Linked DNA regions of Macaca mulatta. The protein of the gene in region 1 purifies or fractionates together with the protein of each later gene. This does not show direct contact. Links are inferred from orthologs where the notes say so. Each region holds a gene or a part of one and is shown in the gene's direction. Other genes may lie near its edges.

Region 1 (4,522 bases):
TCATGTCTCAACAGGTTGCATCTTGACTATAAAACCCATTAAGTGCTGTTTTGATTGAATTCTAAGAAGTGTCAGTTTGGCAGATTGTGTCCGTATAAGTGGCTCCAATTTGCTTGTCTTGAAAGTTTCAGAGAGATCTTTGATCTCTCAAGACAGATTCATGTGAACTGAGTTCTTGGTATAAAAATGGCATTTGAAAACATAGTAATAGGTGAAGATATCCATACGATAGTGGTATCTCAGGAGTTTTCTGCCTTTTTGCTACCAATAAAAAGGGGGGGTACCAGGTGTCGTGGCTCATGCCTGTAATCTCAGCACTTTGGGAAGCTGAGGTGGGCGGATTGCTTGAGCCCAAGAGTTTGAGATCAGTCTGGGCAACTTGGTGAAACCCCATCTCTACAGAAAATTACCTGGATATGGTGTAGTCCCAGGTACTCAGGAGGCTGAGGTGGGAGGATCACGTGAGCCCAGGAAGTTGAGGCTGCAGTGAGTGGCTGTGATTTGGCCACTGCACTCCCACCTGGGCAGCAGAGTGAAACCCTGTCTCGAAAAATAATAATAATAAGTTAATATTTTAGAGAGAAGAAGGAAAAAATGTCCTTTGCAAAGCAAATAATTTTTTAAGTAACAGCTCTTTTGAGATATAAATTACAGACCATACACCTCTTCCATTTCAAGTACACAATAGGCCAGGCACGGTGGCTCACGCCTGTAATCCCAGCACTTTGGGAGGCAGAGGCAGGCAGATCACCTGACGTCAGGAGTTCGAGACCAGCCTGGCCAACATGGTGAAACCCCGTCTCCACTAAAAATACAAAAAAAATTAGCCGGGTGTGGTGGTGGGCACCTGTAATTCCAGCTACTTGGGAGGCTGAGGCTGAGGTTGGGAGTTCAAGGCCAGCCTGACCAACATGGAGAAACCCCGTCTCTACTAAAAATACAAAATTAGCCAGATGTGGTGGTGGGCGCCTGTAGTCCCAGCTACTCAAGAGGCTGAGGCAGGAAAATCGCTTGAACCCGGGAGGCCGAGGTTGCGGTGAGCCGAGATTGCGCCCAGCCTGGGCAACGAGAGCAAAACTCCATCTCAGAAAAAAATATAAAAGAAAATGCTGGGGGGAATAAAACTGCTGTAGAGAACAATGCATCATTGGATTTTTTTTTAATTGTGGTAAAACATGCATTGTAACATAAAAGTTACCAGTGTTAGCCTGGCATGGTGGCTTGCACCTATTATCCCAACACTTTGGGAGGCCGAGGCGGGCAGATCACCTGAGGTCAGTTTGACCAGTCTGGCCAACATGGTGAAACCCCGTCTCTACTAAAAATACAAAAAAATTAGCTGGGCTTGGTGGCGCACACCTGTAATCCCAGCTACCGGGGAGGCTGAGACAAGAGAATCGCTTGAACCCGAGGGATGGAGGTTGCAGTGAGCCGAGATCGTGCCACTGCACTCCAGCCTGAGCGACAGAGCGAGACTCCATCTTAATAATAATAATAATAATTTATTAGTGCTACAGCTCTTTTTAGAATGTCTAGCAAGTTTTCCTGTTTTTACTGAAGCCTTCCCTTCCCTTCCAAATAACAAAAAGTACACTTTTTTTTTTAAAAGAGTTCAGGTGTCATTCTGTTGCCTAGGCGGGGGTGCATAGCTCACTTTAGCCTCAAAATCCTGGGCTTAAGTGATCCACCCACCTCAGCTAGCTAGGATTACAGACACACAGGTACCATCATGCCTGGCTAATTTTTTTAAAAAAAACTTTTTATAGAGACAGATCTCAAACTCGTGGCCTCAAGCAATCCTTCTGCCTCAGCCTCCCAAAGTGCTAGGAGTACAGCCATGAGCCACTGTGCCCTGCCTAAATTTTCTTTTTTTTTTTTTTTTTTTTGAGACAGTCTCACTCTGTTGCCCAGGCTGGAGTGCAGTGGCGCAATCTCGCCCCCTGCAAGCTCTGCCTCCCAGTTTCAAGCGATTCTCCTGCCTCAGCCTCCCGAGTAGCTGGGACTACAGGTGCCCACCACCATGCCCGGCTAATTTTTTGTATTTTTAGTAGAGACGGAGCTTCACCATGTTAGCTGGATGGTCTCAATCTCCTGACCTCGTCATCTGCCCGCCTCGGCCTCCCAAAGTGCTGGGATTACAGGTGTGAGCCACCGTACCCAGCCTGCCCTGACTAAAATTTATAAGTTTAATCATTTTAAAGTGTGAGATTCAGTGACATTAAGTACATTAGCAATGTTATGCAACCACTACTACCATCTTCAGAACTTTTTCATCTTCCCAGAGACTTCACACCCATTCAAGATAATTCCTCATTCTCCCCTGCCCCCAGCCCCTAGTAACCTCTATTCTACTTTCTGTCTCTATGAATTTGCCTGTTTTATGTATTTGGACAAAATAGTTGTGTTTAGGGTCACAATAGTTAGGAAGGTTTTAAGAAAAAAAAATTAAAACTATCTTTGTTTCAAAGACCTTTTTTAAACCAGTGTTGGCAGTGCTAACAGTTCTTCCTTTTCTGCTAGATATCTCTGAAAGTGTGAACTTCGATGAGGAGACTGATGGAAGATCCCAGTCAGCATGTTTAGAAAGCCCAAATTCTGCATCCAGCCAGAATTCAACTGTATGTAGTTCTGAAACTTCTTCCGTTAGAGCTAACTTGACTCTTTCTCAAACATATCTTCAGTATGTGTGTGTGTGTATGTATGTATGTATTTATTTATTTATTTATTTATTTTTGAGACAGAGTCTTACTCTGTCACCCAGGCTGGAAGTGCTGTGGCATGATCTCGGCTCACTGCAAGCTCTGCCTCCCGGGTTCACGCCATTCTCCTGCCTCAGCCTCCTGAGTAGCTGGGACTACAGGCGCCGCCACCACGCCCGGCTAATTTTTTGTATTTTTAGTAGAGACAGGTTTCACCGTGTTAGCCAGGATGGTCTCAATCTCCTGAGCTTGTGATCCACCCGCCTCGGCCTCCCAAAGTGCTGGGATTACAGGTGTGAGCCACTGTCCCAGCCCTCAAACATATCTTCAGTATTTAAATACCATTAGTGAATGAGGGTTCCTTCAGAAGTTTAAGCTCAAATTTAGCTTATGATCTAATTTTTTCTATCTCAGGTCAGCTATTGTGAGGCTTTGTCCCATTTGCATACTTAGCTCTTCATTACTCTTAATATTCATATCCTTATTTAACTTTTCAGTTTTCCTTATTCTGTCAGAAGACTGAAGACACAGGGGTAAATTACTAAGTTGCTTTGTCCACTAAGTGCTTCTCAAAGAGAATCAGATTTTGAGTCCTGGCCTCTTGTTGCTCATGTATGGCTGTCCTTTCAGGATACAGGCACTTCCTGTTCTGCTACTGCAGCCCAACCAGCTGATAACCTCCTGGGAGACATAGACGACCTGGAGGACTTTGTGTATAGTCCTGCCCCTCAAGGTGTCACAGTAAGATGTCGGATAATCCGGGATAAAAAGGGAATGGATCGGGGCCTCTTCCCCACCTACTATATGTACTTGGAGAAAGAAGAAAATCAGAAGGTATGAGAATTGATTTCTAAGAAAACTCTTGAGAGAGAGAAGAATGTTGTGGGAATAGATTGTTGATGGGCCTTAGGGAACTAACTCTGGTATTAGACCAAGCCAGCTAGAAGTAGATTGTATCTTTCAGTCCCCAGATGCTGTGTTCTCATTTTCTGCAAAGAGCTCATGGTCTAATAGGCAGCAAGCTCTACCCTCCCACAAATAAGAGCTTGATCCACAATGTGGGAAAATGGGCAGGTATTTCTTAATGTAATTTTACAGGTATTTTGTAATGTAAGTTTTCACCTGTCTCCCATGATTTAGTTTTTAGATGCTACTGTTCTTTTTTTTTTTTTTTTTTTAATGATAAAACATGACATTGTGGAAGGAGAGCGAGTTTTGGGGAATAGGATGAATTAGAAATACGAAGGACATACAAGTTAAATGTCTTGTTTCTCACCCTAGAAATTCTAATTTATTTTATAAGTTTGAGCCAATTTAATATGTGCCGATGAACCTTATTAATTTTGTATTAATACCAGGTCTTAACAGATGCTTTTAAGAGCCTAGAAATGAGATAATGATAGTAGGTATTAATTGTTCTAACCACCATTTATTGAGTGTTTACAACAGACCAACCATGTGCATATATGTTTATATGTATTATCACCTGTAATCATTGTAGCCACCTTGTTAGGTAGGATTTCTCATCTCTGTTTTAAAGATGAGGTAACTAACTGGGGCTTAGGGAGTGACTTACCTACCCCAAATTGCACTAAGTGATGGCAGAGCCAAATTCAAACCTGTTTCTGCATAATTCTAAAGTCTTCCTGCTTAGCCACTGCCACTCTCCTGCTTCCCTGTTACGGTCCTGGTCTAGTAGAGTTTAGGAAGGATGCCTGCATAGGATGGTATTCATGCCATTGAAGTCACAGTGGTTTAAAACAACAGCAATGGGCCGGGCGCGGTGGCTCAAGCCTGTAATCCCAGCACTTTGGGAGGCCGAG
Region 2 (4,522 bases), on another chromosome or scaffold:
AGCTGTTACAGAATTCACTTAAGTTTTACTTAGAAGCCTGGGTAGTAGAACCTAGAAATTTCATTGGGGATTTTTTTTTTAATTTGAAATATTAAATAGGTAAAAAGTCATCCTTAATTGCTATTAAACTTTTTTTTATAATGTCAGAAGTGAAAGCTCCCCACATCTGCTTACAGCCTGTTTGTATCCTTCCTGACTTGGTTGATTAAATGGACATCTCTATATACATGTGCATATAATTTCAATTTTTGCTTAGTAACAAAAACAAAAGTTATACATACTGGTGACTAATTTGCTTTTTTCACGTATGTCATGAACCATTTTCTAGGGCAGTTCATCTAGATCGCCCTCATTCTTTTTAATGGCTACATATTCCACTATTATGGACGTACCATATTTATACAACCGGTTCCCTACTGATGGGCATACGGTTGTGTCTAGTTTTTTGCTAGCATTATGATAGATTAGAGCCTGTAATGAATGGTAAGGAAGTAAGTAGATGATAGCACTACTACTTTAAAGGAAAAAGTAGAGAAGAAACTTCCTTTGCCATAGTCACTTACTAAATGAAATTTAATAAAAACACTGTCAAAAGTTGGGAGGACCAAAATTGATACTTTTTCTCTGATCTTTTTGCCATGTGTATATCTGAATTCTTTGTTTTTAAAGAAGAAACAGCATTGAAGCATTATTTGGGGGGAAAAACACACACACAAAATCCAGCAACTCAGCATTCATGAGCAACTCTATACTATACCAGTATGTGCCTGTGCAGTGGAAGGAAAACAATTTTGGTAAGGATTAAAACTTTAGCTTTAAACTTCCAACAGGTTGATATTCTAATGAATGATAAATCAAAAAAATTTTAAAATATTCTTGTATTGACAGTGCTTTTTTAAAAATCACCCTACCTTGATACCTGTAATTTTAAAGTTTCCCATTTTTCTTTAAAGAAAAAAATCTGAATTTGCAGCCAACAAAAATTAGATATCCTAAGGTTGTGTTACTTCTGACTTTTATTAAAATATCAACATTTATTAGAGATGTTTATGGGCTGACTTTGTCTTTTTCTTCAAGGGGCCAAGTTCACTAATTGCTGAGTTTTATACATGACAGCAACAGTCCTTTTGTAGGTGTGTGTTGCATCCATCTAGATACTTTAAAATGCTCATCTATTTCATTTTTAAAATTATATGTGGGGGATTATCGGTAGTTTTTTGTTAAACATATGACATCTGTAGTTTATTTCACTAATGTAAATTTTTTCTACCTTTTACTTGATATAGGAAATATATCCTGGACAATTCCAACCATCTCTCTGTCACAAATTCATAGCCTTGTCAGATAAGGAAGGAAAACTACTTCGCAACTATACCCAGAACATAGACACGCTGGAACAGGTTGCGGGAATCCAGAGGATAATTCAGTGTCATGGTTAGTAAACTTCAGAATGGTTTTCTGTAATTTATTTTAGTTTTATAGGAGGATTTTTCCTCTAAAGCAGACTGCCATTGAGAAGTGGAGATAAAGCATTATTTAATCATGTTATCTCGTTAATTATAGATAACCTCCGAAAAGTAGAAAAGTAGAAAACAAAAATAATAAAAACAGTTAATTACATAAAACCTCAAATATTAATTTGCTTTTGATTTCAAAAGATGCTGCAGTTGCATGCATTCAGTTATTTTAAATAATCTTTTCTGGCTGGGTGTGGTGACTCACGCCTGTAATCCTAGCACTTTGGGAAGCTGAAGCGGGCGGATCACATGAGGCCAGGAGTTCGAAGAACAGCCTGGCCAACATGGTGAAACCCTGGCTCTACTAAAAATACAAAAATTAGCCGGGCATGGTGGCGTACCTGTTATCCCAGCCACTTAGGAGGCTGAGGCATGAGAATCACTTGAACTTGGGAGTTGGAGGTTGCAGTGAGCCAAGATTGCACCATTGCGCTCCAGCCTGGGAGACAGAGAGTGAGACTCTGTCCAAAAAAAAAAAAAAAAACTGATTACAAGAGTAATGTTAGCTATTAATGAAGAAATGTGACATCTTTAGTTTATGAAACTAAAAGAACTGGATAGTTGAGATGTACAGAATTCAGAGATTCAGAAATGTTTAATGTAAAACAAGTATGAACACGCCATTAGGTATCTAAAGTGTTTCTAAGAACTGCTGAACTAAGGTAATAGAATTGGAACTGTTCAACTCTGCAGGATTTTAGCTCTGCAGGAGCGAGTTATTACAGTTTTGTTCAAAAGAGTAGCTTTAGAAGGCATCATTATTGTCTCAGCGATTGAGAATTGTGTTCATTCTATGTATAAATAAATATATAAATTATTCATCCCCTAGATTCTCCTGTAGTGTATCACAAAATCTGCAGTGTGTTCTGAGGTTTAAAATCAAAGTTAAAAATCTTTAAACCCTGTTAACATTTCTGATGTCAAACTTTATAACATTCGTGGTGTGTTCAAGAAACAGAAATACTTCATTAATAAAGCACATATATGTTGGTTGTTTTTAGGTTCCTTTGCAACAGCATCTTGCCTGATTTGTAAATACAAAGTTGACTGTGAAGCTGTACGAGGAGATATTTTTAATCAGGTAATTTGTTTCCCGTATTTTAGGAATTGTGCATGTCTCTGAAGTATTTCTTCTTTTGCCTCAAAATCCTTTTTTTACCCTTAAAGGTATACGTGATACAGAAATATTCAGGAAGAAAATAGTAATTGGGAATTTTGGTAAAATATACAAGAACCTTTCAATACCTTATATAGAAAACAGCCCTATAAAGTCTGTTAAAATTATGAAATTGGCTTCTTAGTATCTAAGCCGAACCTAAAACATCAGATCATAAGCAAGTTGTTGTTGTTGTAGTTTTTCTCCTTCCTCTTTTTGTGCCTGTCAGATTTGAACCTTAAATTAGTTGTGGTAATCTTTTAAAATTATTTCATACATGTTCATTGCCAAAAAATATAGGAAAATGTAGCAGAAAATAAAAATTATCCAGAAATATGTCCTGTGTGCTTAGCAATATATAGAGTTAATTATATTATTATGAAAGAGGAAGAATAGTATATTAAAATGGAATCATTGTTCGGGTGCAGTGGCTCATGCTTGTAATCCCAGCACTTTGGGAGGCTGAGGTGGGTGGATCATTTGAGGTCAGAAGTTCAAGACCAGCCTGGCCAACATGGCAAAACCCCGTCTCTCCTAAAAATACGAAAATTAGCCTGGCATGGTGGCATATGCCTTTAATCTCAGCTACTTGGGAGGCTGAGGCAGGAGAATCATTTGAACTCAGGAGGTGGAGGTTGTAGTGAGTTGAGATCATGCCACTGCACTCCAGCCTGGGCAACAGAATGAGACTCCATCTCAAATAAATACAATGGAGTCATTTTGTTTTACAAATGTGTATTTTTCTTTTAAAGGATCAATTCCCATTTTGTGTATATACACACATTGTGTTTTTCCTCTTATATGATGGACTCTTCAATGTCAAGTGTTTTTCTATATAGATATTATAACAAGAGCATAGTATTTCACTGTTTCATAGTATGTTAATAAACTACCCATCATTGACGTTTAGATTGTTACCCAGTTGCTGTTTATCTATAGCTTTTCTGTTTTTTTTTTTTTTTTTTTTTTTTTAAATAATTCTGAAATGTATTCTTAGAGGTATGGAAATGTTGACTATTTCTAACTTGAGCTTACTGTTTGCTTCTCTGTCTCAACCAAAATCTGAAAATTCGTAGGTAGTTCCTCGATGTCCTAGGTGCCCAGCTGATGAACCGCTTGCTATCATGAAACCAGAGATTGTGTTTTTTGGTGAAAATTTACCAGAACAGTTTCATAGAGCCATGAAGTATGACAAAGATGAAGTTGACCTCCTCATTGTTATTGGGTCTTCCCTCAAAGTAAGACCGGTAGCACTAATTCCAAGTAAGTTGGTGATGGCTTTTGGAGATCATTTCTATATATAATGTCATGGGTTGTGGATCTGTATAATAGACCCTAACTCTAGTAATCTTACTCTGCTTCTGTTTGAAAGAGTGGTGAAGAGCTAATTTTCGAAATTGTTTGTTTATTTATTGAGATGGAGTTTCCCTCTTATTGCCCAGGCTGGCGTGCGGTGGCGTGATCTCAGCTCACTGCAACCTCCGCCTCCTGGGTTCAAGCGATCCTCCTGCCTCAGCCTCCTGAGTAGCTGGGATTACAGTTGTCCACCAACATGCCTGGCTAACTTTTTATATTTTTAGTAGAGACCGGGTTTCGCCATGTTGGCCAGGCTGGTCTCGAACTCCTGAGCTCAGGTGATCCACCCGTCTTGGCGTCCCAAAGTGCTGGGATTACAGGCATGAGCCACCATGCCCGGCCAGAAATTGTTTATTTATAGTAGAGATGAGGTCCTGTTGTGTTGCCCAGGCTGGATTTGAACTCCTGGGCTCAAGGATCCTCCTGCCTCAGCCCCTTGAGTAGCTAGGATTACAGGCACAAGCCTCCACATCTGGCTCAACTATTTTTTATG
Region 3 (5,188 bases), on another chromosome or scaffold:
GTACCGCGCGCTGTGGGAGCGACGCCTCCCCCGCGCTCTCCCGCGCCGCCCCACAGGACCCCCTGGCCCGGCCTCGCCATGACAGCCCCAGCGCCCAGCTTTGGTCACCTTTTTCATCAACGCCGGGCGGCAGCCTGGCTTCCCGGGGCCTCCCCGGGTGCCCGCAGAACCAGCCGGGCCGGGCAGCCGCGGCCCCCGAGCACCGGCTGCAGTGAGGCGGCGACGCCTGGCTGGTCGTCCGCCTTGGGAGCGACTGGCCGAGCGGCGCTAGCCCCGGCACGTCCCTTCCGCGGGCCGGCGCGCAGTTGAGGGGGCTGCGGGCGCCGATACTGCCGCAGCTCAGCCTAGTAAAGCCGGCCCGCCGCGCTCAGCAGCAGTTCCGGCTACGGCGGCCGGTGGGGGCCGCACGGACGGCGCGCGGGGGCGGGGCCGGGGCGCGCGGGCGCGCGGGGCGAGGCGACGAGCGCGGGGGCGAGCACGCCCAAGGTTTCTTAGGGCGCGTCTCCGCAAAACGGCGCCCCCATTGGCTAGGTCTGGGCGGGCGCGCTCGCCCGGTGGGCGTAGGGGGCGAGCCCACGGCGCGAGTACTGTTGTGACGCCAGTCTCGCGACCTTGCGGACTGTGCGTCTCTTCGGATTGGTGGACAAGCAGCCAATAGGCCAGGGCCCGTGCCGTGATTGGCCGCAGCCGTGTTGACGGATACATGAGAAGAAAACGCCGTGGTAACTCGGAGTGTGGAATCGGGCGCGAACCTGAGTTCTGAGGAGAAGTGTGGAAGCGCGTCCGAGGCAGTTTCGCGCACCCTTTCCTGAGTGGGGTGTGTGCTTCTGCGCTACGTTAGCGTGGCCGAGCGGTGCTGGGCACTTGGTCATTTTCTTCATAGCAACAAAGCAGAGGGGTGTTTTTCAAATTCTAGTGTTTTTTTTTCTTTTTCTTTTTTTGAGACGGAGTCTCGCTCTGTCGCCCAGGCTGGAGTGCAGTGGCGCGATCTCGGCTCACTGCAAGCTCCGCCTCCCGGGGCTCAGGCGATCCTTCTCCCTCAGCCTCCTGTAGCTGAGACTACAGGCGCCACCGCACCAGGCTAATTTTTGTAGTTTTTTAGAGACGGAATCTCGCCATGTTGCCCAGGCTGGTCTCGAACTCCTGGGCTCCAACGATCCGCCCGCCCCGGCCTCCCAAGCGCTGGAAGCCCAGGCGCGAGCCCCGCGCCCGGCCGCCAGCTGCTTTCTGGGGGGCGCTCCCTGCCTTGCTCCGTTCTGTGGAGTCCGGGGCCCGGCAATGGACACAGGCCCTCAGTCACCCAACAGCTCAGGACACTGCCGAGCGCATCGACTTTCCCAGAAACGCCTGACCCACGCCCTCCACTCCCAGACTAGAAAAGCGGAGCCCAGCGAAGGCCTGGGCTGAGACCGCCCGGCGCTGGAAAGGCCCCGCCTCGGGATGCACGGGAGGGGAACACGCCCAGGAGGGGAGGATGCCGCGGTCGATTGGGGCTGTGACAGCGCGCCCTCAATACGAAGGGGACCCGGACGCCGGCCCTGCGCCGCCGTCTCTCCTAAAAAAAGCTCGTCCGGCTTCTCTCTTGCAGAACGGAATAACCCGGCCCCCGGCGCTCAGACCTCGGAGCCGCACGTGCGTGCCCGATCGCCTTCGGCTCTTTCCGGCCGCTCGGGGCGCTTCGGGCGTCCTCGGGGCCGCCTCGCTCACCTTCGGCTATTTCCGCGTTCCTGGCGCGCCGTTGTCCCGGCAACGCGCGGCGGCTCAGCGGCCTGGCGGAGGTGAGTGGCCTTAAGGGCTAGGGCGGCCGACCCAGGTCCTTAGGAGCCAGGCAGGGGTTTGGGGCCGAGGATCTGACCGGTGGCGGGCGTCGGGACCCTCCTGTCTCCTCCCACGATCCCGTCGCCGCCGAGTCCCCGCGGCCCCTCGCGAGTCCCTTCGAGGGTCCCATCGAGGCTGGGGCGGGCTTGGCGCGGGGTCCAGGTCGCCCGTAGGATGATGGCTGTCGCCCCCGCACGGCCTCGAATCGCGGCTGATTCCGGTCGCTGGGAGAGTCCCTTTGGAATGGGCGGGGTGGGGAGGTGGGCGGCGCCATCACACACCCCAGATGAAGCGGGACTAACGAGAGGAGCAAAAAAAAAAACATTCTATGCTTGGTCACACGCCGGGTCGGCTCTGAGGGTCGCGTTGCATCAAACCGCCAGCGCATGGCTTCTCGATACCGTCCGCTGGTATGCAACGAGGACCCTGCGCAGACCGGAGGCTCTGCATTGTGGCCTGGAGAGCGAGGCTTTGTAGGGTGGTCCCGGGTGCCTGCCCCTGAGAGTCCACCGTGGAGCCCCGTCCAGGGGTTCCCTATTCGGCGTCACAGAGGAGGAAGGCTACTCAAAGCCCTGTGACCCCGTGCCGCTTAGCTGAATGGGCTTAACAGATTCTTTCCAAAAGCTAGTTTAATGGAGGCACTTGTAGAGGCTCTGGAGACGCTGGACGCCTAAAAGTGAGAGGAGTACATCAGTTAGAATAAATACAGTTTTTCTCTGGTTCCCCAAAGTTGATACATCTCCCAGTTGTATGTTCCGGAGACTGGGACTTTGTTTCAAGGAAAGGAAGGGTACTCGTTTCCGAGCTAACGCTATTGCAGATTGTCATCAAGTACGTAACTATTTTATTGGTAGCCATCTCTCCTCCTTGTGTCAACTTTTATAAATTATACTGATAATACTCATTTTGGGAACTTGTTAAAATGCAGGTGAAAGGAACTATGAAGAATTATATTAATGCATTGTGTAAAAATGGAACTCATTCAGTCAGGCCTGCAACCCGTTTGTTATATTAATAACACAACAGGAAGAATCTCTCTCCTTGCTAATACGCAGCTTCATCCGCGCAGGGCCTGTTCTGTGCAAGGCACTGTTCTAAGAAGCTGGGAATACTGGGTGCCTCCGGCTCTCTGGGAAAGATAATATGGGGGGCAGTGTGTGAGCAACGAAACTCACATTTACAGTAAAGTCTAAGTGCAGCCACGGAGAAGCCCAGCGTTGTGTGGGGACACTGGGCAAGAAGCACAGGACAAAGGCAAAGCCATCAAGCCCTGAGAACTCCCTTACCCAAAGCCGGGCGGGAACCTTGAAAAACCCCAGGCAGGAAAGAAAGTAATTAGGACCATTTGCCTTCATAGTTAGTACAAAGTGTTGTACTAACGTATCACTCATTTTTCAGAGAAATATTTTCACAGAGTAAACTTGTTAGATACTAATTTCCCATACCCCAGGATTTGTAACCTTGGCTGGCTGCAACATGTTAAAACTCTTTTTTTTTTTTTTCCAAAACAGAGTTTCGCTCTGTTGCCCAGGCTGGAGTGCAGTGGTGAGATCTTGGCTCACTGCAACCTCTGCCTCCTGGATTCAAGCGATTCTTGTGCCTCAGCCTCCTGAGTAGGTGGGATTATAGGCAGGCACCACCACACCCAGCTAATTTTTGTATTTTTTAGTAGAGACGAGGTTTCACCATGTTGTCCAGGATGGTCTCGATCTTCTGACCTCGTGATCCACCCACCTCAGCCTCCCAAAGTGCTGGCATTACAGGTGTGAGTCACCGCGCCCGGCCAAAACTCATTTTAAGAGGCAGTTCCAGCTACTTGGGAGACTGAGGCAGGAGGATCACTTGAGCCCAGGAGTTCAAGGCTACAGTGAGCCATGATCACACCACTGCTCTCCAGCCTGGGAGCCCTGTCTCTAAACAAAATACATATTTTTTAATTTAAAGGTTTCTTTCGCTGTTTTAAATTGCCCAGGTTTTGATCTGTATGTGTGTTTGTTTGTTGTTTGGGTTTCTTTTTTTTTTTTTTAATTTATTTTTTGAGACAGAGTCTTGTTCTGTTGCCAGGCTGGAGTGCAGTGGGGTGATCTCAGCTCACTGCAATCTCTGCCTCCCAGGTTCTAGCGATTCTTCTGTCTCAGACTCCAGAGTAGCTGGGATTACAGGCGTGCACCACCACAACTGGCTAATTTTTTGTATTTTTAGTAGACGGCGGCGGGGGCGGTGGTGCACGTTCTCCATTTTGCTCAGGCTGGTCTTGAACTCCTGAGCTCACACAATCTGCCTGCCTCGGCCTCCCAAATTGCTAGGATTACAGGCATGAGCCACCGCACCCATCCTGAATAATTTTAAATGGTGGCAAACATGTCTACAAATATGCTCTTCTCTGCCAGTTAACTTCTCCAAATTGACTGAGGTGTAAAAAAGTGAGAGTAACCAGACTGTCACTTCATGTATCACCCTAACCTTCCTGAAAAGGGACAATATGTATATCTTTTCCAGATCTGAGAGGAAGAATGAGAGCGATTAGTTCACTAAGTTCACGTAACTGATCAAGCTCAACTTCTCACAGCTGCTGCAGCTGTGCGTTCTTGACTCTCTAATGGAGGAAGCCTTCTGTCTTCTACCACCTGTGAGTCAGAGGTAGCGGACAGTCTGATTTTATGCTTTACTGGAAATTAAGTACTGGTTTTTTTCTGTACCAGTACTCTCTTCTGGAGCAGTTTGCTTTTATTTTGTTTGAAAATGTTGTTTAAAAGGCAGCGGTGACTCACAGCTATAATCCCAGCACTTTAAGAGGCCAAGGCAGGAGGATTACCTGAGCTCAGGAGTTCAAGACCAACCTGGGCAACATAGTAAAACTCTGTGTCTACACAAATTATTTAAAAACTAGCTGGCCATGGTAGTGCATGTCTGTAGTCCCAGCTACTTGAGAGACTGAGGTGGGAGGATCACTTGAGCCCAGGAGTTTGAGGCTGCAGTGAGCCGTGATCTCACCACTGCACTCCAGCCTGGGTAACAGAGCGAGACTTGGTCTAAAAGGAAAAAAGAGGCAACTACAGAAATAGAACTTGTCCTTATTGTGACTGGAATGAAAGTTACTGAGGATTGCATGTGTAGTCTAGGCTGCAGGGCTTTTCTTTCTTTCCTTCTTTGATGGCCATGAGTTGTATTCGTCTCTGTCACACAGCCTGGGTGATTCCGAGTCTAACTACTTCTCGTCTGCATTTCTCCCTGTTGGAGATCTCCTCGCATCAGGTTGTCTGCTCAGTCCACAAGGCATTTTCAAGTTGCCGATGGTCTTCCAATGGTAGCTTTGGGATGCTTCCCTTTTGTCATTCCATGTATAGTCATTTTGTTTGTTTTATTTAAA
Region 4 (5,177 bases), on another chromosome or scaffold:
TGTTAGCCAGCTTCACAGACCCTTGGGTATCATGTAGCCTAGTTCCTCCTCCTAGCGCTCCCATCTCTCAACACTGTTTGCTTTCAGTTTGTTCATGCAAGTTCAACGAAAACACCTTAACTTAGATTCTTCCTTATGCATGTTTATAATACCATAATAATTATTTTTAAAAACCCACATTGTCCTGTTTTCTTAGCTCTTCATCTGAAAGACTATGAAGACATCATCCCTCCTGTGGAGATCTACTCTCTGCTAGCACTCTGCGCATGTGCCAGCAGAGCCTTTGGGACTTGTTCAAAAGCTTTCATTAAACTTAAATCTTTAGAGACCCTCAGTTCAGAACAGAAACAGCAGTATGAAGACCTCGCTTTAGAAATATTCACCAAACATACTTCAAAAGATAACAGAAAACCTGAATTGGACAGCCTTATGGAAGGGTAGGCTAATTTTAATTAGTGGATGTCATTCTACCTTATTAGAAGCTTGGATTTCTAGATGTGCAATGTTTAATGTAGGAAGTAAAGCACTAAATTTTGAAGCAATTCACATTAACATTATACCCTATTTTATTTATTCTTACAAGTGTATTCATGCTTTTATTTTTTCATTGTAAGAAAGGTTTTTTCTTGAAAAAACTTTTTTAAATGAAAGTATTTGACATTAATCTTGGAATTTTTATTCTTTAGGTTTTTTTAAGTGTATTAAATAAATTAAGTTAGACTAATGAGAAGTTTTAAAGTATAATGAATTGTTTCTCCCCTTGTTTTACAGTGGAGAAGGGAAACTGCCAACATGCGTTGCCACAGGAAGCCCGATCACTGAGTATCAATTCTGGATGTGCAGTGTATGCAAGCATGGTGTCCTTGCCCAGGAAATAAGCCACTACAGCTTCTGCCCCTTATGCCATAGTCCAGTGGCTTAAAGGAATGATAAACTGTATGTAACTGTAAAATATAGGTAACATATATACATGGCTATATGCTGTATGTGTAATAAGGTTTATTTCTATGAGTTTTGTATGAAAATAAGCCTCATTATTTATAGTTGAATTTTTGCACAAAATACATGTTAATAAAATAATTTTTTAAAGCAATACAACTGTGAAATAATAAGGCTGATTTTCATATAAATGTATGAAAATCAACCATATTTTCTGTCTGCCTCTCTCTTTTGTCTATCTTGTATTTGGTTACATGATACCATGGGAATATTCCAAATAAATATTTTTCTCACAATGTCAAGGTAACTGAATTCATTAAAAAATCTTGAAGGGAGTGGGGAGCAGGGGAGGCATGGGAGTGGGGCAAAGTTGAATTTAGAGAATTTTTATAACCCATGTTACAAGGAAGTTAAACAATTGTAATAGCGAAATGAGCTTTCTCTGTAGCCATAGTTAATTAAATAAGCGTTGAATGTCTTCTTTATTATATATTCAGAAGTGAGGCGATGGCATTTTAAGACATTTTTTACAATGTCTTAAATAAGACATTAGAAACAATAAATTGTTTCTAATAGCCCTATTCCTCTATTTTAAAACCTGTCCTTTTAGTTTCATTCAAGAGATGGCATTTGGAATTTACACTTTCATATGATTGTGCAGAAAACTTGGCTCTATTTATAATGAAAATAACAAACAAAAATATCCATTTTGTAGTTATAGCTTCTATTGAAACATTGTCACTAAGCTGGACCCTTTATTTACACAAGTATTGTTGAGGGAGTGATTCTTTCTTGATATGCATCTGTTTTCATGGATTATTAATTTAGAAGATAAACAGTTGTGATCTGTAATGGACCATTTCTTATGTCTTTTATATAGCAAATAATGTTCTCTGTTTATTTCTCATGAATTCCCATTTTGTGGCTAAAGACAGAACTTTGCACTATTTCATCAAGATTATTTTATTGAGGTTTGGCTTACCTTTAGTAGAGGCAATACATAGAGATACGCAACTTTGTTATTGCAGCTACAATACACTTTCTCAATCTGATGTTTTTGTCTTGTAGAGACCAAGGCAAGTTCAGCATGTTGCAGATTGGGAATAGTGAGCTATGAGAAGAGATTTAGAGCCTAGATGAGCTTAGGATAGATAGTGGGCTCATAGGCCTACATAAAAAGAGGAGACCAGAAGTCTTTGAGGTCTCTGTCTCTCTTCATGTACCTTGTGGAAAATTACCTTTGTACAATGGTAGCCTCTAAATACATTACCTAGCAAGCTATCCCAGAGGTCAAGGAACAGAAAGCCTTACAAACCAAATAAAAATTCTCAAAATACATTGGTTTATTAAACCAATTTGCAATACACAGTGAGGAACAAGGAGAAAGCAATGATAGATTAACACTGTTAGTGTAGCGTGCCAGTGAGGTGGAAAGACCACAACACCTGAATCATAGGTTATGTAATGTTTTTATGTCCTGACTCACACTCTGTCACATAAGCTTTCCCCTAATAGTGGGGTTACAAGGAGGACCAGAGTGGCCGTTTGAGCCAGACAACTCAATCAGATGAAATGTGCCTGAGGCCAACGACGTACACTTGTTCTCTAGAAGGGTCTCAGGGGCCAGTACACTTTTACCACAGTAATAGCTTGCCTATTAGTCTGCTGAGCAGCCATGAATTTTATTGTATTTCTTGGGTAAGGACAGGCCAGAATGAGTGTCACCAGTGGGTAACTGAATCAACTTCTCACACATATTGAGGGCTTTATATGTCTCATGCATACTTAGTGTGTCATGAATATTTGATATCTTTGTGGCTTTTCATATTTTGAATGCTTCATGAATATTTGATATCTCTTTCTCCTTTCTATCTGTGGTCACACATACATGCTCTATTAACTTTTGTCTAATATGTCTCCTAAGTTACTAACTTACTTATCTAAATTTAACACAATGAATTTCAGCTTTCTCATTTGTTTTCTTCTATACCAGAATGGAAAATTTCCCCAAATCAGAAAATCACATTCTAACAAAGAAGTCTAAGACAATACATCTCCTGTTGAACTTACATCTTTCCACAGGACTTCTATTTTTAGGGATGAGACTGTTCTCTGCTTCATCAAGGAAAGAGAAATGTTCAGGGTTGTAGGGATGGCACACTTACTAGCTTTGCCTGTCTGAAAGGTTCCTGCAGGACAGTTTGGTCAGAGCTGCAATTCTTGGTCCATGGTTGAATGCTTGAGTATTTCTTCCTTCCCTTTCCTATCTCAGGAATCAGCTGAGAATTCATTTGATTGTCATGCCTCTGGCCCCTTACTGTGATTTGTTGGTTACACTTTCATTTGCTTTAATTCTAGGATCACCTGTTGACTCCTCAGACTTCACCTAACTTTGGAAACTCTCTTTTGGAGCCTTCTCATTTCCCCCTAATTCTGTGCTGCCTGAGCTCTAGAATTTTCCCACCAATGAATTACTCCAGGTAGATTCTGAGTTGCTGGATCTAGTTGATATTTAAACAATATGTAGTTGATATTTCTAATTCAGTTGGATCCAGAAACCAGTATCTTTTAAAACAACCTCTCATACCTTGTGGACCTAATTATCATATATGTATATGTGTGTGTGTGTGTGCGTATGTATATGGACAGACACATCTTTTTTACTTTTGTAAAAGCTTATGCCTCTTTGGTATCTATATCTGTTAAAGTTTTAATGATCTGCCATAATGTCTTGGGGACCTTTGTCTTGTATGTAAATAGTACTAGAGAAAAAACCTGTATTATGAATTGATCTAGTTGGTTTTATTCGACATGAAGGCAATTTCAAGATAACAACACTAACAAACTCTCCCTTGACTAGGGGGACAAAGAAAAGCAAAATTGACCATAAAAAACAATTACCCGGTGAGAAGTTGCATAAACAGAATTAGGTAGTATACTGAAGACAGCATCATTAAACAGTTATGTTGTTCTCCTTGCAAAAAACATGTACTGACTCCCTTTGAGTAATGCCAAGTTGTTTTTTTATTATAAAACTTGCCCTTAATTACATGTTTCAAAGTGGTGTGGTGGGCCAAAGTATTGAAATGATGGAACTGACTGATGAAGCTGTACAAATAAGCAGTGTGCCTAACAAGCAACACAGTAATGTTGACATGCTTAATTCACAAATGCTAATTTCATTATAAATTATTTTGCTAAAGTACACTTTGAAATTATTTTTCTGTATTCCAAGAGCTGAGATCTTAGATTTTATGTAGTATTAAGTGAAAAAATGCGAAAATAATAAACATTGAAGAAAAAATAACTTGTGTTTATTCCACGTTTTCTTTATAACTTATGGAGAACATGGTGTTTGCTTTGTCTTGATTTAAGTATGCTGATGGGGGTTGGTTAGGAGGGTATTGGGCTCCAGAGTGGAGAAGGGGAAGAGGGAGCAGGAGGTACAATAGATATACAGTACCACTTTTGCTACCAAACAAGGGGGAAAAAACCCCAAGAGACTGAATAAATTGCTGTATTATGTCTTTATAATGAGAGCTACCAGCTCCTAAGATATTTCTCTAAAGTTAAAAAAAATTAAATTATACCTCCAGCTGATTGAAGTCCACCCTTTCCACACTGATGTGCAATTATATGAAAAAAAAAAAAAAAACCCAAAAACAAAACAAAACAAAAAAACAAGTCCATATATGCAGGTACCAATTTCTGGTTTCTTTTTCTGTTCCATTGATCTGTTTGTCTTTCTTTGGCCCAAAGCAGAATGTCTCAGTTATTATAGTTTTTAAAATAGGTCCTGCTATCTGGTACAAGTCCTACTTTGTTTTTCTTCTTCAAAAATGTTTTGTCACTCTCAGTCCTTTGCACTTCTTTTTTACATATACAACCATATAACCGTGCTTAATGACTGCTTTTTTTTAAAAAAATACTTCTCAATTGTCATATCTGTTATTTCTTTTTATCATCTTATTGCATTGGCTAGGATACCCAAAACAATGCTGAATAATTAAAGTGATGATACTGGGCATCCTTGTCTTATTCTTAATCTCAAAGGAAATTTTTCAATATTTTAAGAAATCATTGCTTATTATATTTTCTGTAGACATTTTGTCGGTAGGTTTTAACAAGTATGTCTTCTTGTCCTAGTTTGCTAGGGAGTTGAATTTTATTAACTGAATTTTCTACATCTGTTGAGATTTTTCTTCAATTTGTTGATGTGGTGAGTTAAGTACTACAAG
Region 5 (4,522 bases), on another chromosome or scaffold:
CCTTGTCTCAAAAAAAAAAAAAAAAGGGAAAATAATATTTCTTATTCACCACTTTAGAATCAATCTTTCCCTTTTTTACAATCCTATATCTACCCAATCACTCAATTTAGCTATAATTTTGCTTCTTTTCTTTTTTTGAAACAGGGTCTCACTGTATCTCCCAAGCTGGAGTGCAGTGGCACAAACATGGCTCACTGCAGCCTTGACCTCCCGGGCCCAAGTAATCCTCCCACTTCAGCCTCCTGAGTAGCTGAGTAGCATGTGCATGCCACCATGCCCAGCCCCCCTTTTTTTTTCTTTTTTTTGGTAGAGATGGGATCTTGCCATGGTACTCAGGCTGCAGTTCAGTGGCACGATCTTGGTCCACTGCAACCTCTGCCTCCTGGGTTCAAGTGATTCTCCTGCCTCAGCCTCCCAAGTAGCTGGGATTACAGGCATGCACCACCATGCCCAGCTAATTTTTGTATTTTTTAATAGAGATGGGGTTTCTCCATGTTGGTCAGGCTGGTCTCGAACTCCTGACCTCAGATGATCCGCCTGCCTCAGCCTCCCAAAGTGCTGGGATTACAAGCATGAGCCACTGTGCCCAGCCACTTTGTTTCTTATGAATACCTTCTTTTCCTCTCTGTCAATCTAAAATGATCTTTTAAAAGTTGATCATACAAATTATGTCTCGATTCCAGATGTGATTCATTTGTAAAAGTGCTTGATGAGTTTGTTTTATCAAAAGGCAGGGTTCTTTATAGGATTTAAGAAAATCTGCTAACTTAAGTATGATTATATTTAATGTAGTATATGAAAATGCTATTAAAAGTAAAATTTTTAATTTTACCATCCCCTCAACCACAGCAAAAAATTGAAGTTAATATCACCCATGCAGTGAATAGTGAGTTGTATTTCTCACTTTAGAGAGTTTATTATCTGTTCAAAATAGATTGAATAATCTTGTTATAGACAAAAATCACAGTGATTTTACTTTTAAAAAATGTATAGTGATATTTTGCTCTCTTTTTAAAAAGTAACTGTGTTGCCATGGATTGGGATAAAGATGGAGATGTCCTAGCAGTGATTGCTGAGAAATCTAGCTGCATTTATCTTTGGGATGCCAACACAAATAAGACTAGCCAGTTAGATAATGGCATGAGGTAAGATAACTTTTTTATTTTTTAAAGCTTCACTTAGAAACATGAATATTTGTAGGTTTGGTGCTAACAATTCTTTTCTACTTTCATTTTAAGATTCCTCAATGAGTTATTTTCTTAGAAAATGATTATTTTATTATTGTTACCCAATTAGAATGAAATTGTTATAACTGTGAAATATAAAGAGCTTCTTAAAAAGTTGCTTTCAGTGGAACAGACTAAGAAGTGCAGAGATGAGACAAAATATATATGGGAAAATCCAGAGATGGGCTTGACCATAGGCATGGCTGGATCTAGGAGTTATAATGGTGCAATCAAGACTTTTTCTCCACCTCTCAGCTCCTCTTTTCTCTATATTGACTTCATTCTAAATCAGATTCTCATCCACGACTACTGGTAGCTACCAGTGTGTATCATTCTTCACAGCAAGCCATGCCAGAGAAAAGAGCATGTGCCTTGACATCACCAGAGCCCATTCAGTTCCTCAAAAGGTCTCTGAATGGAGTAGGCAGGGCCATGGATTGGTACTCCCACCAAGTGAAAGGAAGGGTGAAGGGCAGGGCAGTTCCCAAATGGAAAAACACCTTGGGCAGACAGAATAAATGACAGATATCTGCTAAAATAGAAACCAGTTTCCGATATGGACAAGAAAAACTTGTCAGCATTTCCAGCTAAAACTTTGCCATTTTGACCTTGGACAAGTTGCTTAACCCCTCTCCAAGCCTCAGTTTCTTCATCTCTATGACATGGGTATAGCATGTTTCATGGCTTCATGTACCCCTCAGGTGGGGAGGAAGAGATCATATACATGCTATTAGACCAGACTATAAGTTTTCAAGTTATTTACTAAGGAATAACTGAACCCAGAGGAAGCAAGGCAGTCATGTAGAGCAGCATCAGCTATAACCTAGGGAGTGCAGTGCCATTGACCCTCCAGAGTGACTGTTGAGGCAAGTAGCTGCAGAAGATACTGTCTACCAATGTAAAGTCTTTCTGAGTCTAAGAACCTTCAGTTCTTGCTCTGTCCTCTTACACTCTGGGTTTACATCACTTTTCAGAAAGATTTTATATACAGTCTCTGTGCTTCCATTCAAGGGAGTGTTTAATAAACTTCAAGTACTGGTTCTTGAGCCAAATTCAGCAACAGTAAGGCCATGTTCTCACTCAGAGAAAAGTGCATAATTAATCCCCTGGTGTTTCTAACTGGTCTATCTCTGCCTTCAGCTCTCTATCTTCCCAGAGTGTCTGTTTCTCCACTTCATCTTAGGATTGTTGTGATGTTTAAATGTATGTCATGGCAAGGCATAAAATTAAGACCCAAGTAAATGGTAGATGTTATCGTAATTGTCATTAAAATAAAATTAAGGTTGCTTTACTGTTGATGTTTATAATTAAAGTCTAAAGAACTTTTGTATATACAAAAGCATACCCACTATTGTTTGTTCTCTATTCAAAGGCCAATCTGTTATACTAGCTAGTTATTAAACAAAACTTTGAATATCAATTTTTCTTAAGTATTTTTATTTAAGAAGGTCCTGTTGTACATGGCCACCTTGCATCCTCTAGGTTCAGTTATTCCTTAGTAGATAAAAGCTTTTAATCAATTTAGGTTCCGTTTATAAAATTTATCTGAAGTGAATCTTTTGAGCACTTCAGACACCTTAAATAGTACCCAAAACCTATCCAAATGTAATTATCACAAAACTTACTGTGGTGCCACTTAACTAAAAATATTACATTAATTCAATGAGCTGAATTCATTTATTTTTGCTATATAGGCTTTTATACTCTTTTAGGATTATAGCAGTATTTACTCTGCTCCTGCCTAGACCTAACAGAAGTAGTCATTTAATTATGTGACTGGGATATAGCCATTTCTTTCCACAGAAAACCCTATATGTAACATCTGCTTCATCAACCAATTCATTCTTAGATGGATCACAGAACATGGTTGCTTCTCCCAAGGCAATTTGGACCTGAGTACTAGGTATCCTACTCAGTGTCTTTTTAAATTGACCTTCAGTTGTCATGTTAGTAAAATTCTTTTAAGCCCATGCCTTATACATAGGTTGCAATTTTTTGTAACCTGTACATTTCCCTAGGATGATATATTCTTTAAATTTTGCTTGGCCAGAGATACATGTGATTGTTATATGTTGTCCTGATCCAATGGCATTATTGGAAATTTACATATGCTTTAGTATCATATTGTAATTTGCAAGACTTTCTACAGACCTTATCTCCTAAGAGGGATGGAGTCTGTTCAGTTAGCTCTTCTTTTGAGGACATTTGATTACTTGATCTTCTTAGAACACATTATTTAACACTTTCTTTCTAGTTGGTTGTTGTGTAACTGTCAGTGCTGATAAACTATTGAATAGACTAATGTTATATTTATCTTATTATATATGATCACTTTTGCTGATCAGATCTTGTTCTTGTTATACAGTTCTTTTCTCTGATACTGTTTTTAGCTCATGCAGAATTATTTTTATTCATATTTTCTTTGAAGGAGTCTCTCTAAGACAGGATTAAATGTGTAAGAGATTTCTTACAGGAAATGCCTGTGAGGGAACTTAGAGAGGTTAGGAGAAGAGATTGGAAGAACTGTCAGACCTCAGTGCGTGTCTGACCCTTATAAATGAGAGAGGGAAAGAAGTAAGGTTGGGAAGAAGCATCTTAAATTGTAGCACAGTTTTGGTTTTTTGGGTTTTTTTTTGTTTTGGATCGGAGTCTCCCTCTGTCACCCAGGCTGGAGTACAGTGGCACGATCTCGGCTCACTGCAACCTCCACCTCCTGGGTCAAAGCAATTCTCCTGCCTCAGCCTCCCAAGTAGCTGGGACTATAGGTGCCCATGACCATGCCCAGCTAATTTTTGTATTTTTAGTAGAGATGGGGTTTCACCATGTTGGCCAGGCTGGTCTCAAACTCCTGACCTCGGATGATCTGCCCACCTCAGCCTCCCAAAGTGCTGGGATTACATGCGTGAGCCGCCGTGCCCAGCCCATTAAATTGTAGTAGAGTTCTAATTAAGAAAGTTCAGCTAGGTCTGTGGGGAGTCTTTGGGCAAAAGTTACCTGTCAAAGGAGTTCTGCCCGGGAATGGGCCCAGCAGTTATCCCTCCCTCACTCAGTCATTGTCTGGGAGCAGCCCATGAGAAAGCACAGCCCAGTTCATTGAGGTGATGGATTCCAAAGCCTAGCAGTTGGGGCTTGTGGCCAGTTACACTTTCTGCAGACAAAGGGAAATCTGAGAGGCACATTATTGTAGCTATGGCACCTACTTAAAACGAGGAAAGAAAGATTAAAATGCATATTTATCTTTTGTAAAATAGCTACTTAATAGAAGAACCTAGCAGCCTGGTATGTTACTACTCCCT
Region 6 (5,035 bases), on another chromosome or scaffold:
AAAAAAAAAGAAAAGAAAAGAAAAGAAAAAAGGCTTTTTTCCCTAGCTGGTTGTTCACTGCAAGTGAGAAAACAATCATTGTTACTAATAATGACTGACTTAATTCCCTCTGGTGTATCTGAGGGATGTCTAACATCTCTTTTTATTTACAGAGGAGATATTGGAGCCCAGAGGCTGACTTAATTTAATGTGTCTACCCTAGAGGATTTCCAGTGGACTTCAGCTGATAACAGAAAAACAATTTGAAAGTTTTTCTCTTGTAATGTGTTATCCATACATGCATATAATACTGATGATTTTCTTTATTGGGTTATGGTAATATAAACTAGCAGCAGGAGCAGTCACTGGTTTTGTAATAAAAGTTATCTGAAAAAGTCAATCTGTTACCAGTGGAGGGTGTCCAGGTTCTTGGCGTTTTGGACAAAGAATTGGAAGAAACACATAAACAAAGCAAGGAAAGAATGAAACAACAAAATCAGAGATGTACTGAAAATGAAAGTACACTCCAGTGTGGGCGCAGGCCCAGCACAGGGCTCAAGGGCCCTGTTACAGAATTCCTGGAGGTTTAAATACCCTCTAGAGGATTCACTGGTTACTTGGTGTATACCCTATGTAAACGAAGAGAATGAATTAAAGTTACAAACTCATTTACTCGGCATACACCCTATGGAGAGGATATTTCTTGTTATAGCTAAAGTGTGAATCGGCCTTATGTTCCCTGCCTCCAGACCCTATTTTCCTGCCTCAAATCTCTAATACTTGATTTTGATGATTTAACTGTTGATCAATGCAAATATAAAAGACTTTTGTAAAGCATAGGCTATACTGTATGTTAATTCAAGGAATGTCAGGGCATGTACTAATGCTGAATTCTGAGAATCACGTGCTTTTGTACAGAACAAAGTCTGTTTCTTGAAATATTTTGAGTTAAATACTCCCTAAAACTCCTTAATAAAGGCAATTACAGAATCTGTTAATTGATATGTGGAATGGCAGTGAAAGAGGCTGTATTAGACGACTTGAAAACACTCATATTTGGAGCTTAATGAAAATATTCCTGCTCCCCAGAGATGAAATGTTAGTGAGAGTAGCAAATAATCTATTTTTATATGCCCGATTTGCATATTTGAGGCCATCTATTAACACCGTTCTTTAGGACCTCAACCTAGTCGTCTAAGACATCCTTATTAAACAAGGCCAATACGTACCATTTAACATTGAAAATAGTTAATGCCCTTCAAAATCTTTCAAAAGAATAAAAATTAAAAACTAAGTTCTTTGTAAAATTTTGCGGTTTAAAATAATTTTTAAAATTTTAAAAATTTTTTGGTTTCAAATTAGTGGGTGCCTCATTTATCATAAATTATAAAAGAGAATCTAACAATTATTGGCTACATTCTAGGCACGGGGTAACGCTTTATTGTTCTTCTAACCAAAAAAATATATGTATCTAAGTATCCTATGTAACGTATCATTCAATCACACAAAACCCTATGAAATACTGGCAGGGCCCGGTGGCTCACGCCTGTAATCCCAGCACTTTGAGAGGCAGAGGCAGGAGGATAATTTGAGCCCTCAGGAGTTCAAGACCAGCCTGGACAACAATAGTGAGACATCGTCACTTCACCATCATATCCAGAATTAATTTCTACTGTTAGGGCAGTCAGCGAAAGGAAAGCTCGCGATATTACACAAACTACTACTCCCAACATGCAAAGCGGTTTCTTTCCCTCTGTCCCCGCCCGGCCGTCCGAGAGCCCCAGCAGGCCTCGGGGCGCGAAAGGCAACCTGGAAGCGGTAGTTCTCCTGGGCGCCTAGCGGGATCGCCAGCGCGGCAGTGGGGCCTTCCGCGGCTCCAAGCCAGCGGGTCCTGTGAGGGCGAGCGGAGGCGGAGAAAGGGCGCGGGAGTGAGAGAGGGTGAGTCAGCCACTGTCTACGCAATAAAGGGAGGCCTCACCGCGGGCTAGGGCTGAATTCAGAAGTGCGGCCCGTGCCGCAGTCTGTTCCAGGACGCGGCTTGTCTTAGCGTCTGCGAGGGAAGGTTGAGGAGGAGCCAGAGCCGGGTCCGGCAGCCTTTCTCGCTATCAGCGCCCGTCGCCATCTCCACCATGCAGTCCCGGGAAGACGCCCCGCGCTCTCGCCGCCTCGCCAGCCCCCGCGGTGGGAGGCGGCCCAAGAGGATTTCCAAGCCCTCGGTTTCGGCCTTTTTCACGGGTCCAGAGGAATTAAAGGACACGGCCCATTCTGCAGCCCTGCTGGCACAGCTCAAGTCTTTCTACGACGCGCGGCTGCTGTGTGATGTGACCATCGAGGTGGTGACGCCTGGCAGCGGGCCTGGCACGGGTCGCCTCTTTTCCTGCAATCGCAACGTGCTAGCAGCTGCGTGTCCCTACTTCAAGAGCATGTTCACAGGTGGCATGTACGAGAGCCAGCAGGCCAGCGTGACCATGCACGATGTGGACGCCGAGTCCTTCGAGGTGTTGGTCGACTACTGCTACACGGGTCGTGTGTCTCTCAGCGAGGCCAATGTGCAGCGCCTGTACGCAGCCTCCGACATGCTGCAACTGGAGTATGTGCGGGAAGCCTGTGCCTCCTTCTTAGCCCGACGTCTTGACCTGACCAACTGCACCGCCATCCTCAAGTTTGCAGACGCCTTCGACCATCACAAGCTTCGATCTCAGGCCCAGTCCTATATAGCTCAGAACTTCAAGCAGCTCAGCCGAATGGGTTCAATTCGGGAAGAGACTCTAGCAGATCTGACCCTGGCCCAGCTGCTGGCTGTCCTGCGCTTGGATAGTCTGGACATAGAGAGTGAGCGGACTGTATGCCATGTAGCTGTGCAGTGGCTGGAGGCTGCTCCCAAGGAGCGGGGTCCCAGTGCTGCGGAAGTCTTCAAGTGCGTGCGCTGGATGCACTTCACTGAAGAAGATCAGGACTACTTAGAAGGGCTGCTGACCAAGCCCATTGTGAAGAAGTACTGCCTGGACGTTATTGAAGGGGCCCTGCAGATGCGCTATGGTGACCTGTTGTACAAGTCTCTGGTGCCAGTGCCAAACAGCAGCAGCAGCAGCAGTAGCAGCAGCAACTCTCTTGTATCTGCAGCAGAAAATCCACCCCAGAGACTGGGTATGTGTGCCAAGGAGATGGTGATCTTCTTTGGACACCCCAGAGATCCCTTTCTCTGCTATGACCCTTACTCAGGGGACATTTACACAATGCCATCACCTTTGACCAGCTTTGCTCACACTAAGACTGTTACCTCCTCAGCTGTCTGTGTCTCCCCAGACCATGACATCTATCTAGCTGCCCAGCCAAGGAAAGACCTCTGGGTGTATAAACCAGCTCAGAATAGTTGGCAGCAACTTGCAGATCGCTTGCTGTGTCGTGAGGGCATGGATGTGGCATATCTCAATGGCTACATCTACATTTTGGGGGGGCGAGACCCTATTACTGGAGTTAAGTTGAAGGAAGTGGAATGCTACAGTGTTCAGAGAAACCAGTGGGCATTGGTGGCTCCTGTCCCTCATTCCTTCTATTCCTTTGAACTCATAGTGGTTCAGAACTATCTTTATGCTGTCAACAGTAAGCGCATGCTCTGCTATGATCCTAGCCACAATATGTGGCTGAACTGTGCTTCTCTTAAACGCAGTGACTTTCAGGAAGCATGTGTTTTCAATGATGAAATCTATTGTATCTGTGACATCCCAGTCATGAAGGTCTACAACCCAGCTAGGGGAGAATGGAGGCGGATTAGTAATATTCCTTTGGATTCAGAGACCCACAACTACCAGATTGTCAATCATGACCGAAAGTTGCTTCTCATCACTTCTACAACCCCACAATGGAAAAAGAACCGAGTAACAGTGTATGAGTATGATACTAGGGAAGATCAGTGGATTAATATAGGTACTATGTTAGGCCTTTTGCAGTTTGACTCTGGCTTTATTTGCCTTTGTGCCCGTGTTTATCCTTCCTGCCTTGAACCTGGTCAGAGTTTTATTACTGAGGAAGATGATGCACGGAGTGAGTCTAGTACTGAATGGGACTTAGATGGATTCAGTGAGCTGGACTCTGAGTCAGGAAGTTCAAGTTCTTTTTCAGATGATGAAGTCTGGGTGCAAGTAGCACCTCAGCGAAATGCACAGGATCAGCAGGGTTCTTTGTAAATAGATTTTGAGACACTAAGATGTTTCTACTGCTACGGAATGTATTTTAAACACATATCCTTTCTTTTTCTTGAAAAAAAAAAAGTTGACCAGGACCACAGATTTGGTTTAGAAAGGGTAATATTTTGAAATACTACAAGGTTTAAACAGTCCACAAAATCGACCTGTTTAATAATATACCTTCCTGAAAGTCCAAAATTAAAATATGGAAGCAAGAACTATGTAATTGACTGGGATGCTTGGTAGGTTTTTTTCATTGTTCAAATATTCATTGCACAGTGGATTGTTTTGATTAGTTAGTATGCTTTTTTTTTTTTAATTAATTCAGTCTTCTGTTAATTTTTAAGTTTTGGTTAGTGCCACAAGGAATTTAACTTTTTAATCTGTACAATAGAAAACTGGACTAGGAATTGTTGGTGGAGTTTTGAAGGATGTATACTTTCCTTCAAAATAAAGTGGTAGATTTTCAAAATTTTACACTAGTCAGTTCTTTATATTCTAAGTTAAATATAGTTTGTAAAATTATTTTGGTTTTCTACAAAGGAAAAAAAATTGCATATATATATATATATATATATATAAAAAGGTTACTGAATAATGATTTCATTTTGATAAATGTGCAGAATGGCCTCACAAGCTCACAGAAAGTAAAAAATAAGTAAATAAAAATAAGGATTCCACTGTTTTAAAATAAATCTGTTTTTATTTTGGAATATAAAATGTGTATTTGGTATATGTGACCAATTTTCTTTCCCAAAAAACACCCATTCTAGTAATGTCATGAATTAAACACCCTTCTAAACCAAAAAAAAAGGTAACTTGCTTTTTACGTTTGTATTTTTAATCTATGCCCAATACATGCTTTATTG

What was found.
Region 2: the proteins of TULP3 (region 1) and SIRT1 purify together in Homo sapiens (affinity purification with mass spectrometry; 5 studies listed by BioGRID and IntAct, counting the BioPlex papers as one, with this or other methods). This does not show direct contact. The link is inferred for Macaca mulatta from reciprocal best matches to the Homo sapiens genes TULP3 and SIRT1.
Region 3: the proteins of TULP3 (region 1) and IFT140 purify together in Homo sapiens (affinity purification with mass spectrometry; 5 studies listed by BioGRID and IntAct, counting the BioPlex papers as one, with this or other methods). This does not show direct contact. The link is inferred for Macaca mulatta from reciprocal best matches to the Homo sapiens genes TULP3 and IFT140.
Region 4: the proteins of TULP3 (region 1) and WDR35 purify together in Homo sapiens (affinity purification with mass spectrometry; 5 studies listed by BioGRID and IntAct, counting the BioPlex papers as one, with this or other methods). This does not show direct contact. The link is inferred for Macaca mulatta from reciprocal best matches to the Homo sapiens genes TULP3 and WDR35.
Region 5: the proteins of TULP3 (region 1) and WDR19 purify together in Homo sapiens (affinity purification with mass spectrometry; 5 studies listed by BioGRID and IntAct, counting the BioPlex papers as one, with this or other methods). This does not show direct contact. The link is inferred for Macaca mulatta from reciprocal best matches to the Homo sapiens genes TULP3 and WDR19.
Region 6: the proteins of TULP3 (region 1) and KBTBD7 purify together in Homo sapiens (affinity purification with mass spectrometry; 3 studies listed by BioGRID and IntAct, counting the BioPlex papers as one, with this or other methods). This does not show direct contact. The link is inferred for Macaca mulatta from reciprocal best matches to the Homo sapiens genes TULP3 and KBTBD7.

The regions. Positions count from the first base shown.
Region 1 is NC_133416.1:3,832,548-3,837,069, forward strand, and holds part of TULP3 (tubby-related protein 3), read left to right. Parts: intron 1-2,520; coding exon 2,521-2,618; intron 2,619-3,329; coding exon 3,330-3,533; intron 3,534-4,522. UniProt on the Homo sapiens protein: Negative regulator of the Shh signaling transduction pathway: recruited to primary cilia via association with the IFT complex A (IFT-A) and is required for recruitment of G protein-coupled receptor GPR161 to cilia, a promoter of PKA-dependent basal repression machinery in Shh signaling.
Region 2 is NC_133414.1:81,856,611-81,861,132, reverse strand, and holds part of SIRT1 (NAD-dependent protein deacetylase sirtuin-1), read left to right. Parts: intron 1-669; exon of another isoform or gene 670-761; coding exon of another isoform or gene 762-794; intron 795-1,286; coding exon 1,287-1,434; intron 1,435-2,518; coding exon 2,519-2,598; intron 2,599-3,749; coding exon 3,750-3,936; intron 3,937-4,522. UniProt on the Homo sapiens protein: NAD-dependent protein deacetylase that links transcriptional regulation directly to intracellular energetics and participates in the coordination of several separated cellular functions such as cell cycle, response to DNA damage, metabolism, apoptosis and autophagy.
Region 3 is NC_133425.1:2,832,490-2,837,677, reverse strand, and holds the start of IFT140 (intraflagellar transport protein 140 homolog), read left to right. Parts: upstream 1-1,723; 5' UTR 1,724-1,778; intron 1,779-5,188. UniProt on the Homo sapiens protein: Component of the IFT complex A (IFT-A), a complex required for retrograde ciliary transport and entry into cilia of G protein-coupled receptors (GPCRs).
Region 4 is NC_133418.1:105,122,474-105,127,650, forward strand, and holds the end of WDR35 (WD repeat-containing protein 35), read left to right. Parts: intron 1-196; coding exon 197-437; intron 438-771; coding exon 772-922; 3' UTR 923-936; exon of another isoform or gene 937-1,235; intron 1,236-3,297; 3' UTR 3,298-4,249; downstream 4,250-5,177. UniProt on the Homo sapiens protein: As a component of the IFT complex A (IFT-A), a complex required for retrograde ciliary transport and entry into cilia of G protein-coupled receptors (GPCRs), it is involved in ciliogenesis and ciliary protein trafficking.
Region 5 is NC_133410.1:38,399,209-38,403,730, forward strand, and holds part of WDR19 (WD repeat-containing protein 19), read left to right. Parts: intron 1-1,019; coding exon 1,020-1,145; intron 1,146-4,522. UniProt on the Homo sapiens protein: As component of the IFT complex A (IFT-A), a complex required for retrograde ciliary transport and entry into cilia of G protein-coupled receptors (GPCRs), it is involved in cilia function and/or assembly.
Region 6 is NC_133422.1:20,613,714-20,618,748, reverse strand, and holds the start of KBTBD7 (kelch repeat and BTB domain-containing protein 7), read left to right. Parts: upstream 1-1,799; 5' UTR 1,800-2,108; coding exon 2,109-4,166; 3' UTR 4,167-5,035. UniProt on the Homo sapiens protein: As part of the CUL3(KBTBD6/7) E3 ubiquitin ligase complex functions as a substrate adapter for the RAC1 guanine exchange factor (GEF) TIAM1, mediating its 'Lys-48' ubiquitination and proteasomal degradation.